Neurospora crassa OR74A: one gene and its partner. The protein of the gene in region 1 interacts with the protein of each later gene in a pairwise test. Links are inferred from orthologs where the notes say so. Each region holds a gene or a part of one and is shown on either strand. Other genes may lie near its edges.

The links. The genes of interacting proteins can lie anywhere in the genome.
Region 2: the proteins of NCU06438 (region 1) and inl interact in a protein complementation assay, tested with the Saccharomyces cerevisiae proteins (2 studies listed by BioGRID). The link is inferred for Neurospora crassa OR74A from reciprocal best matches to the Saccharomyces cerevisiae genes SSL2 and INO1.

Annotation. Positions count from the first base shown.
Region 1 is NC_026503.1:1,414,385-1,420,061, forward strand, and holds NCU06438 (DNA repair helicase RAD25), read right to left. Parts: upstream 4,251-5,677; 5' UTR 4,017-4,250; coding exon 1,428-4,016; 3' UTR 1,154-1,427; downstream 1-1,153. Other genes in the region: NCU06437 (hypothetical protein), read left to right, coding at 1-798; NCU06439 (zinc finger protein), read left to right, coding at 4,821-4,825, 4,953-4,996, 5,124-5,455. UniProt on the Saccharomyces cerevisiae protein: ATP-dependent DNA translocase. Component of the general transcription and DNA repair factor IIH (TFIIH) core complex. When complexed to CDK-activating kinase (CAK), involved in RNA transcription by RNA polymerase II.
Region 2 is NC_026505.1:4,182,356-4,189,252, forward strand, and holds inl (inositol-3-phosphate synthase), read right to left. Parts: upstream 4,488-6,897; 5' UTR 4,131-4,487; intron 3,868-4,130; 5' UTR 3,722-3,867; coding exon 2,108-3,721; 3' UTR 1,632-2,107; downstream 1-1,631. Other genes in the region: NCU10547 (hypothetical protein), read left to right, coding at 1-698, 1,166-1,613. UniProt on the Saccharomyces cerevisiae protein: Key enzyme in myo-inositol biosynthesis pathway that catalyzes the conversion of glucose 6-phosphate to 1-myo-inositol 1-phosphate in a NAD-dependent manner. Rate-limiting enzyme in the synthesis of all inositol-containing compounds.

The DNA.
Region 1 (5,677 bases):
CTCTGCCAGGGATGCTACGACTCGCTAGTCCCAAATTCCGTAGCCGAAGAAAACGGTCCCCGCGGCTGGCGTCGCTGTCCACCCGCCGGCCACCGCATGACCATCGTTTCCTTTATTACCGACGACCGAACGGGCGTTGAAAGGAGGAAAGTGTTGAACGAGATTGTCGGCGGACACCGCCTAAAGATTGAGAGTTTCCTGCTCGGGGGCGTAAGGGGAATGCAAATTTGGAGTTGGCAGCATGACGCGGAATCTTCGTCGTCGCCACTACTACTACCCTCTCCCACTTCCTCCCATGCCTCCCATACCTCGCATACCTCCCGTCGTGCGTCCTCATCCTCTTCCAAAGCAGACCAAGACGACACCAACGACACCACCAACAACGACAACGAAGATGAAGACAAGCAACCCAACCAAAAATTCCTCCTTCTCCAACGTCTAGTCTCCCTAGACGTCTCCCACCCCGCCATCTTACCCGACCATTCCCCCTCAGAGGAAGACCCGTTATCCCCATCATCACCACTTTTCTCACCAACCTCACCAACATCGCCTACCTCCTCATCAGCACCCCACCACCACGGCCGACTAACAACAACCGACCTGTTCCCACCCGATGGCGGCACGGGAACACGCGTGGTTGCCCGGTTTAGCTGGTACCGATCTTCCCCGGAAGCCAAGAACGAGCTGATTTTCCCCAAGGGGGCCGAGATCACCGAGGTGGAAGGGCTGAATGAGGAGTGGGGGGTGGGTTGGTATATGGGTGAAGTGGGATTGTTTCCTAGGGGGTATTGTATGTGAGGTGAGGTGATTTTTTTGCCGTTTGAAAACACTGTACATTACATTACTGTGAATGGAATGGAAGGGTATTTGAAACGGACGGGTTTGGTGAGATGGATGGATGGATGGATGGATGGGTAAATAGAGGGAGGTTGATGATGGAATGAAGATGATGAGAACATGAAGATGAAAGCTTGAATGATACTGGTACTACCCTACCTACTGATCACTAGCTAATTCATAATGAGTGAGTGAGTGAGTGAGAAGGCACTTGTTGAAAGTTAGGTGACATATCAAACTTGTGTGAATTAAGGTGCATTCATCCATTGAGCAAGGCAATTAATATATTTGTGTTATGTTCAAAAAAAACCCTTTTAAATTGTATATTACGATTTCGTGACCATCCAAATGAGTGCCACAATATGACACTGATAATATGGATGTCTTAAGACTACTGCTTTTTCCGTCTATGGAGAACGATTACACACCTAACCATAAATTCCAGTTTAACTTTCCGGAAAGTGGATATATCTCCTTATAGCAATGAAATTTCTTCGCAGGCTTTATAAATACGGACGGACGATGCAAAATGAGCGCAAAAAGAGAGAGGGAGAATACAAGTCAAAGACCCCAAATCAAGACGGTTTCTTCTAGCCCTGTCTCGCCAAAGCCCGACTCCTCTCCTTCTCCCTCTGCAGCTTCTTGAAGAAGGCGCTCTGCTCCGCCTTGGCGGCACCCTTCTTCTTCAACCCCTTATTCGCCGCCTTGTTCTGCTCAATGTACGCCATATCCTGACCACCACTGAGCTCGCCCAGGGTTCCAGCCATTCTCCGAACCGCCGCCGCTCTGCCCTTTGCGCCACCCCTTCCGCGCCCGACCTTACCAAACAGATCGTCCGTCTCGACATCATCCTCGGCGCCCTTTTCATTGTCGACCAGTGTGCGCTGCAGCAGCTCGCGCCGCTCCTGCGCCGTGGCGAAGGCCAGGTCGGGCGTGTTCTCGATGTTGGCCAGCTGCGTGATCACCTTGAAGGCGTAGCCCTGGTCGACCAGGAAGGCCTGGCGCTTGGACGAGTAGTACATTTCCTGCGTGTCTTTGGACACGAGTGAGTAAAAGAAGGCGTTGAAGCCGACGTCGTTACGGCGCTTGGCTCGGAGGATACGGCCTAGGCGCTGGGCTTCCTGACGACGGGAACCGAAGTGGGAGGAGATTTGGATGAGACAGGTGGCTTCGGGCAAGTCGAGCGAGGTGTCGCCGATCTTGGAGAGGAAGAGCGTGTTGACTTGCGGGTTGTGCTGGAAGTTTTCGAGCACTTGCATGCGCTCGGCTTGGCCGGTGCCGCCGTAGATAAAGACTTTATTTAGCTTGAGGGCGTATTGTTTTAGTGAGTACAGCTCGTCGGAGAAGACGATGATCTTGTCGCCGCGGGCTTCGTGGTAGTTGATCAGGTACTGGCAGGCCTGGAACTTTCGGGGGTTCATGGCGTAAAGAGTGCGCTTCATGCGCGAGTTGGCACGAAGATACTCGTCGTAGAACTCGGTGGGCATAGGACACCACACCTCTGCGCACTGGACCTTGGCGATGTGACCCTTTTCGGATAGCTCCATCCAGTTGGCCTCGTAGAGCTTGGGGCCGATTAGGAAGTTCAAGTGGGAAATCTTGTCGTCTTCTCTGAGCAGGGTGGCTGTGAGACCCAGCTTGGAGTGCGACTTGATGGAAGAGATAACTCTTCGGAAGACGTCGGCAGGGACGACGTGGACCTCGTCGAGAAGCATCAGACCCCATTCACGACTCTTGAGGAAATCCATCATCTTCTTGGAGTCGTGAGATCGTTCTCGGTTGTTGGTAACCATAGAATATGTAGTAACAATGATACCCGTATTACCAGAGAACTTGTTCTTGCTCTCAGCGGTAAAGACGGCAATATCGTCGGGGTTGATGTTGGACCACTTGAGGAACTCCTGGCGCCATTGCACGACGGACATACTGCTGGTACACAGGACGATGACACCCTTTTTGATGGTGCAGGCAGCCGTAATGCCGACCAAGGTCTTGCCTGCACCGCACGGCAGAACAATGATGCCACTCTTTGCTCTGCCGTTACCAAACATTTTGCTGAGACTCTGCTCCTGGTACGGACGAATCTGTGTGTTTGGTCGCAGATCGATTTCCAGATCCGCGTTATTAGAGTCGTTCCTGAAGTCGTACTCCTCCAAGATGGGAAATCCTAGGTCAAGACAGCGTCGTTGGACAATCTCGACGGCGGTTTCGGGGATCTCAAAGGCATGGACGGCGTCCTTGTCGTCCTCGTCGTCTTCCTCATTGATGGCTGCGTAGAGGTCTGCCTCGTTAGTCGCCGCAGCGTCCGCGGCCCCATCCTCGGCAGTCTTCTTGTTGCCAGACTTGTTGAGGCCTGCCTGGTTCACACCGGCGGCATCTTTGGTGCCGGGGATGACCAGGCCGCCCATGGTGGGCGCATAGGAGGTGGTAATATCACCGGAGCCCTGGACACGCCACTTTCCGATTACTTCATCGCGGAGCAGCTTCTGCAACAACTCGGCATCCGAGCTTTCTACAAAGTACTTGTTGTTATTCAGCACGAGTTTCACCTTGCCGTAGCTCTTTGTGCACGACTCAATGAAGAGACGAATGGACTCGGGCAGGGGGGTCTTGAGGAAGCGATCCAGGGTGTCTATAATATCCTTTGACTGCAGGCCAATGGACACACCAGCGTAGAGACTGTGGGCGGTCAACTGATACTCATGCAGGAAATGCGGCCGTGACTTGGGCTCGGCAATGGTGACGAGGAAGTCGGTGACGCGGTCGGCGTCCGGGCTGAACTTCTCGAGTATGATGGTGCCCTTCTCCGGGTCGATCCACAGCGGCTTCTGGTCGTGGTCGGGTTTCAAGTTCAGATACGAAAAGTCGCGTTTCCCGCTGCCAAAGAACTGGGTGGCGCCGTCACGATGACTGCCGCCACCGTCCTGTCGGGCCTGGAAACGGCTACTATCGACGGCCCATGTATTGACGAACTCGTCGGCCTCGCGGGCAATCACCTCCTCTTTCCTCTTGATGACCTCGTCGACGTCGTCGTCGTTCAAATCATCATCGCCGTCCGACTGGAACGAGCTCTCGAGGCTGCGGGGAGTCGCGGGGCCGGGAGTGGACAGGGCCGAAGTGCGGCCAGCTTTGGCAACGCCGGCCTGGGGGGCGCCGACCGCTTTTCGCTTGGGCGGCATTATGTGTATGACGAAAACGTGATCTCCTTTCTTTCTTTCTTGTCTCTGCTCTGTTTTATCTATTTCTAGCAGTTTCAGTTCTAGAAGGATGGATTAGCAGGCGGACAAATGAAGAATGCCAGTGCAGTGGCAAAAAAAGAATACAAGGTTGAAAGGATGGGAGTTTGAAATGGATGATGAAATTCCACTTTGTCTTTTGTACGCTACGGTAGATACCTGGCTCTACAAGCAGAGGTATTGTAGGGTACAAGTACAGCAGGCCTAGTTTGCTTACACTGCGGTTCCTGTCCTGTTATGGAAATTGTTAAGGCGATACCGTAGGAGCCGGGCGCCCGAGCCGCTGTGACAGCAAGGCCGACAGGGGCCAGACACGCTAGTTTAGTCATCAGCCACGCTTATTTTGTGGGGAAGCGAGTCTTCTGGAGCCAACCTGGAAGTGGAGGGAACCGTTCGGCGTTCAGTGCACTCCCTCAGTTGCAGGCTCCACCCGTGTCACCCGCTGTCCAGTCCGAAAAGCACCCCGCGTTGAGTGGTGGTCGGGTCGGTTCTGGTCTGGGTGGGTGGACGAAGGGGGGGGCGACGGGACGACCGCGTTAAGTGCCGTGATAAAGTTCGGTGAACCCTTTTTTTTCCGGACGTGAACATTGGCGATCAAGGAGAACGAAGCGACGTCGAAAGAATCTTGGTGTCGTACATACCACATAGAACCCAACAACGACGAAATATCATAAAATCAGGGATCAGAACGAGCCATCTACACTATCTACCTCTCTGCGCATAAGTAACCTCTTCCTGTCTGTCATCATGTGGTAAGTAAACTCCCACCTGCCATGCCATGACCTGACACTTCGGCATGCCTTCTACTTATGTTCCCCTTGTTTGCTCGTGTAGACCACTTCCACGAACCACCTGCTAACTAGATCCTCTCCCATCCAGTAAACACGTTCTCAATGCTCAAGTCTCCATCCGGTCACCATGCTGTACGTAACCTCAGTCTCAAATAAACGAACCACCACGATTCCCTATTACCAGTATACAACGACAACAACACCGAACATCGCAGCCATATAAACATGACCTCTAACTCTACACCCACCTCCTACGCAGGCCGCAAATGGTTCGACTGTCCCGAATGCCACGCCGAGTCCGAGTCGCACCCCCTTAAGAAGACACTCGAGATGACTTTTGCCTGCAAAAAGTGCAAAAAGTGTTTCCGCAAGGATGCGACCGAGTTCGAGGATTCCGACGAATACTGCCCGCACTGCGACAACCACTACATCATCGAGGCCGTGACGCCCAAGGCTGCTCTCAGGGTCGAGGGCGAGGATGCGAGAATGGATGCGCGCATGCTCAAGGACGAAAGAGTCAAGCAAACGAAGAAGACCATGAACCAGATCTCGATATTTGACCCGGATGTGGACGCTGATAAGCTTGGTTGAGTGGCTGGGCTGTTGGAGTTGGAGTTGAAGTTGGAGTTGGAGTACGGAATCACAACGCAGCGAGGAAGGGAAAAAAGAGATACCATTTAGAGAAGCATATAATCAAACTGGGTGGCTTGTTGTCACTCACATCATATTGCACATCGCACCATTATTCCGTCCGTTCAGGACCTTGCTTGGTCGTCATTCGTGGTATTACTTGTGTACCTAAAGGCGTCTTCC
Region 2 (6,897 bases), on another chromosome or scaffold:
TTCCACCAAAATGGAATGAACCCAGAGGAGACGGGTCTGTGTCGAATCCCTCTGGAATATAACACTAGTTCTGCGTCCTCTCAGATGCCGGGACTGATAAGCCTCAGAGCCTTCATGAAAGGCACTCATACCAAGGGGAAGCACGAGGATGATATCCTGACAAATATCCTTGTCTGTGTCTCAAGCATTGGCCCTCGCAAGACCATCAAGGCCAACAATAAACCAAGCACTCTGGAACTGGTCGAGGTTCATGTCTGTGATGAAACAGATCATTGTGTTCTCAAACTTTGGAGTGACCAGATTGTCTCGGCACGCGAATGGACCGCTGGACAGACCATCCTACTAATTACCAATCCAAAACTCTACCCTCGAAAGAAGGGCAACGAAAACCCAGGACTGGGGGTTGCCCTGAACTCGATAGTGGATGTGGACCCCGACTTTCCAGATGCTCATTGGCTTCGACGAATGGCTGAAGCTCAAAGAAAGAGAGAGCGGGCACACACGCCGTTCCCCGTTGGTGTATGGGATGTCGAACAAGCTATCAACGGCCCGAACAGGGTACTCTATACCTTGGCAGACGTGGATGAGAGGGTTAGAGAGGACGCCAGCGTTGTGTTTACCGGGAAACTCAACGTCCTCATCCTTGGTGTCAGTATCTGCGAGAGCCAGAGACAGAACAGACTTTGTTGTTTCGAATGGTGAGTCAGTTTACCGTAACTAGCCTGTACGGTACTTCACACAAGACTGCCTTTCTCCCATCGCTCATCTTTACCCCTCTACCTACGGACCGTATCATGTATAAGGTCTGGAACCAGGCCTTACTCACAGAAACATCGCCGGTGTGCGAGGTACCCGTGGTACAGCTTTTGTAGGTCGCTGCTGGAGCATGGTGGTTCGTTCCCCCAAGTTTCCTGGGCGACTGAGCTTCTTGTTGTTTTTGTCGCCTTCATTGATGGTTGAAAAGAGCCCCGCCACGTCCTCCGTATTTTTCTCTTTCATTCCCACTTGCTTTCGAACGAAGTTCGTATCTTGATCGTTGCCCGAAGACGCAGCGATTCCCATCGCAGGTCGCCAGTGCAGCTGGTGCAGAATAGCATGCCTCTTGTTTCCTTTCTTGGCGAGAAAAAAAGACTAGTTACTGAAAACTGACATTGCCTATCTCTAGTTGCAACTTTCCACTTTACTCCAACCAGTCCTCCGCGACGTGCAAGAACTGCCACAAAGACTGCGAACTGACCATTAACCCCCGTGTAATCGGACCTGTCGCGGACGAAACAGGATGCGTCACCCCGTGCAAGTTGGTCTGGAGCGACAGAGCATGGTCTGAGTTGCTCAGAGGTGGTCGTCGCATCTGTTTTGACGGCGAGCATGGAACAGCGACTGAATCATTGCCGAATAACGATGTCTCTGACCTTGCTACTTCACATGAAGACAATCACGATGCTTACTATGCTGTGCCTCAATCTCATCAACATGTCTGGAAGGACCTGATCAAAGTCGACCCATTGGAACTTAGAGATTTGGAAGAACGGCTGTTGTACTCCCGTGTTACCTTGACGTTTGGGTGGTCTGCGGGGGTCAAGCGGCTCTGTGTGTTGGGCGTGGAATGGTGAAGATGTTCGAGAAAACGGGCGTTGGTGACTCCAATGGTTGATATGTTACCGCTTGATGGACGTGGAATGATAGTACCTGAGGAGGAAAAGTAATTGTCAAGGATGAGAATGTTGAGTCAAGTATGACAAGATGTTGTGGTTTATGTGGTAGGAGTTTGTATCACGGTCAACAACCACCACAGTAGTACCGTACACCAATCACCAAGGTCGAGCAAAACCACACATGTAAGAACGGTGTTCATTATTGTACCTTTCAAGGCATCTAGCAAAGATCAAGCTACTAACTATGATCTTCTTTTCTAATTTCCCTCCTGGCAGCATATCACCCGCTCTTAACCATTTTCTCAAAATTTCCCATTAACGCTGTGCTGTTGCAAACAGCGACTCTCAGGCTGGCTCGCATTATCCCAAAATCCCTCCATCTAAAAGCTCAGATCTCAAAATCCTCCACTCAAGAATGTGCTTGCAGCCGTGTATGATTGACGTTTGACAGCCTAAAAGAGCTTGTGCTCAAGGGTCATGTCAGACTCAGGTTCGAGACCGACGCAAGCGCGGAAAATGTTAGTAAGGGCAGCACGCTGCTTGGCAAGCGCGTTAACGACGGGAGTGCCGGGGGGAGTGAGGGGGGCCTTGAGCATGTAGCTGAGGACGCTCAGGACGCTGTGGAAGTGCTTGAAGTCCTTCTCGGCAGCGGCGCCGGCCTCAGCAGCCTTCCACTGGATGCGGGTCATGATCTCGGTGATGACGACGAGATCGATGATCAGGGGCGAGGCAAGGAGGGAGTCCTCGCACACGTTGAAGAGCGAGATGGTCTGGTGACCGCCGCAGAAGATCTCGGCGTAGTACTCGTCAAGGGCGCGCTTGTCGTCGCCGACGGCGGGCATGTACTTGATCACAACGGTGTGATCGGGGTGCTCGCCCTCCTTGTACAGGACGCTGTTGGCGGCCACCATGTCGTCGACCACGTTGGACTTGGAAATTTCCTTGGAGCGGAACTGCTTCTGCGAGGAAAGGTTGTAGCCGTCGTTGTTGCCCAGGTGGTTGTAGGACGCAATCGAGGTCAGCTTGATACCGGCATTGATGAGGAAGTCGGTCAGGGCAGACTTCATCTTGGTCTGACCGGACTTGAAGTCGTCTCCGCCGATGAAGGCACCGTGTCTCTCGGCAAGCTCGATGGCGCCGGGGACGAAGGTGTTCTGGGGGGAGCCGTTGATGAAGGGAGTACTCTCGAGAATGCAGGCAACGGCGAAGATGGTGGAAGGGGAGACCTCCTCGTGGCCGGCCTCAATGGACTTGAGGAGGTTGTCAGCGGTGTCGTTGACGCCGTCAATCAAGTCGGCGTAACGCTCGGTGTTGGCAGTCCAGAGGACAATAATTTTGTCGAGGCCGTTGGCGGCCTTGAACTCGCGAATGTCCTTGCGGATCTGCTCAACGTGCTCCATGGAGGCCTTGGAGCCGGGGAGAACGTTGTCGGCACGGTTCTCCTGGTTGGCAGCAATGAAGTCGGGGTAGTAGATGGAGGGCAGGGGGACCATCTTGGACATCTCCTCGCGAACAAGCTCCTTCATGGTAGGCTGAAGGACTTTGGCGCGATCCATGGCCTTGTCGAGGGGCATGCCGGAGATATCCCAGCCGCCAATGACGAGATCGTTGGGGTGAACCATGGGAAGGACGTTGTGGAAGGGAACGTTGACATCCTTGCCCTTGGCGTCGATGCCGAGCTTGATGGTGGAACCCATGATGACGGAGCCGTAGTAGTTGGCCTCCTGGGTACCCTCCTTGGTAGCCCAGCTGTACTTGTGCTTGTTGGCCAGGATGCCGGCGGTCACGGTGGTGCCATTGTTGCCACCCCAGCCGACCAGCATCAGACCGGTCTTGGGGACTTTTCTGTCGACCTTGAAGTCGTAGACAGTCTCCTTGGGGACGGCGACATAGTTGTCGCCCTCGACAGTGCACAGGGTGGTGCGGTAGGTGTACTTGGAGCGGATCTCCTCGTCGGTGTAGACTACGTTGGGGGAGTTGACAACGAAAGTCTTGGGGGTGGTGTTGATATGTCCATCACCGTTGGCATGAGCGCCGTTGGTGCCGTTGATACCGTTGGTAGTCATGTTGACGGTAAAGGTGGTTGTTCAGGTGCAGGTAAGTGGTTGGTTGGCTATCTTGGCTGTTGACGGTCTTTTATGGGGTAAAGACCGAGTCCGCTGAACTTCCGGGCGAGGCAGAACAACGGGCTCCTGCGTACGGGTGATGGACTCTGATAATTTATATTAGTGAAAGATCTAAAGATTGTGATATTTTCTTACGGCCGCCAGTGGCACAAAGCGCAGAGCCGCAAGGGCTGTGACTGGGCTAGGGAATATGGGACGACCTCAAACACATTTCCCCCGACCCTTCACTCACACCAACCCGCGTGGTGAAGGGTCAACAAGCGAGGGCTTGAAAACGCAACAGAAGGGCGGTCGTAGGGATGGCAGGAACATGCAAGCGGCGGCAGAAACCTGGAAACCGTCGACTTACGAGTTGAGTAGGTTGGAAAACGTTTTGGCGGATGATGGGATCGCGGCTCGGGAGCGCGATCAGATGGTTAGTTGCTTTAAGGGGGGGGAGTGCGAGATTGTGACCGGGATGGATCTTTCTGAAGACGATGGGGGATCGAAACAAAAGAACAATCAGAGACGTTGGTTGACGAGCCTTCTTTATATACCTGGGGACCCGACAAACAGGCCAAGGGCGCCCGCAAGGGACATGGCGGGAGATGTACCTCATTAGCCTCTCGTGAGGTGGTTCCGATGTGGATGCACGTCTGCCCTGGAGATTGTTGGAGCTCCATTTCCCATGCACCACGCGCGCGGCGGCCGGGCGGCGGGCGGTCAAGGGGGGAGACGGGACTCTGGGGCGTCCGAGATCGCGCGCCAGGGCACCTAGAGGTATACAATTGGGGGTAGACTACCATACAAGTTGGTACATACAGGGATCTCGCAGCCATTGTCCAAGCTCCGGGGTTTTCGGGCTCTAGACTTGCCCGCCCGTAGGTGGCATCTGCCTGTCCGGTCCGGGGCAGAGGACATTGGCATTTCAGATTGCAAAGTCGAATCATATGTTTATTTCACGATATGTTGGGACTCTGCTAGTGATACGACCCCGTGCCACGACCAATGGCAAACGCCCATCGCCGATATCCCCAAGAAATACACAGTACATAATAACGTCAAAAGAGAGAATGTGATTTACCCCGGGATGGTTCTTTGATCTCGCATTCCCTGGTCGATTCGTTCACCTTTCAATGGCTCCTCAACAGTTCCCCCCAGCTGGGGGGACTTGGTATCGGAATCAGATGGAAAAGACAATCGCTCGCGTGCAGGCATAGCTACCTACGTACGCAAGCACGAGCACAAAAACCTCAACACGCATGCACATCCTGATCCTGTCTGAAGCCGCTGTCTGCCCTTTCGGCGACCGAATCGACAGGCGCCGGTTAAAGTTGCCCCCTGTGAGAGACAAGGTCTGTACAACGCTTTCCGATAGAAGGGCGAATATTCGGGGTTTCCAACAAATTCTTTAGTCAAATGTTCACCCGCACCCGACAGGGCCATCGTGCCACGGCGCGTCGGTTGTGAGGTTGGACTGTCGGGGGAGGTTGGGGACAATGTGATGTGGGGTGCCGGGTCTTCCACCCACCCGGTCCGGACACGGAAACCCCTGAACCATCTTGCACTGGGGACATCCAGACGGGACTCGCCAGACAGCGGGCAACGCCAAGCCTGCCGATTTGCCCACTCGATAACGGACAGATTCGGGTGCCGAGCCCGATAAGGAGGTACCTGTGACTAGGTACACACACTACCAGTAGAGGTAGCGTCCCGGTCCTAACGGCAACATGAAGGGCGGTCTGTCGATTTTTGTCTCTTCTTGCACATCCCGCGTCTCGAGCTCGACATTGGTCCGTCATCGAAAGTGCATTGCATCAGCAACTATTGTGAGCCGGTGTTCGCTTGTCGTAGGTTGACATCGAACCGCAAACTGCACTGCGGCTGTCTCGCAGCTGCTAGTTTCTGCTCTTACCGTGAGTCATTAACGCCATTGTTGATCAATCCCTGGACATGTTGTCGTGGCAGCACCCGAAGATATCTGGATTTCTGTAATCCTGTCTCTCGTCTGCAGGCAGAGGGCGCAGAACCAGAGAAAGGGTGGCCAGAAGCGAGCTCATTGTTAACAAACCCCCACGGTCGTACGTATCATGGCGAACAAGAACCATGCTCCAGCTGGGCTCAAGCATATGTGAATAGTCATCTGCTCACAGGCCAACAAACGCAACTTGTACGGTTGCTGTAATCATGATAGGGCTTCGGCACCTTGGCTCATGAGATCCTGCACAAAGTACCACACCATCACTGCAATGAAAAGCTTTGCCCCGACTGGCATCGTGGAACACAAGGTGTTGAAAGTTCTCAAATTTTATTAGTATTGTTATTGTTATTTTTACTTCTTACTTATATGTTTCCCCCCCCCCTGGCTCGAGGCCCGTCCCACCCACGTCATGCAGCTTCAATTGACAGCGCAAAGTTGCATCATGACGGCAACGGATGGTCCCCATTGGGAACACTTTTCGAACTGATAGGTAACCCCAACAACATCCACCTGCATGATGAAGGTTACTTTCGGATTCCATGCATCCTGTCCTTTTTGCTTTCACCAGTCTAAAAAAAGGGGTAGGTTTGGTGTCTTTTTGTTGTTCAAAATGCTTCCAGCATAATCCTCCCAGAAGCCCGAAGCAACATTGTATTTTTCCTGGCGAATTAATGGCTTTTCTTTTACGGTCTTTCTTCCAAGAAGTGGCCATCGCCATCGAACTAAGTCGCTCTCAGTATCTGTCGAGAATTTGTTAGCTACGCAACAAAGAACCGACTTGTGGGATCTGGAACTCGCTACCGGGGAGCACACGGACACGACGCACTCGCACACACATCAGGAAATGTCCTACGAAGATCAAGGGTCCTTTGTTACACGGAAAAGACGACATATCCACCTCAACTCGAACCTTTTTTTTCACCTAGAAACGTGTTTCGAGTGACACAAAACCGACTGTGGTGTGTCTAGGTATGCCTCGGGCTATGGAAACCAGAGGTTCTGAACCACGGAAGCGGTCTGGAGTCGAGGTTGACATTTCCCCGTCCTGTCTGCAACAACACATCACCAAAACAAAGACAAGACACAAGGACAGACAGGCAAATTTACCGAAGGCATCGAGATGGCGAGTTTCAGACCCTTCGCCTCCAAGTGTAAT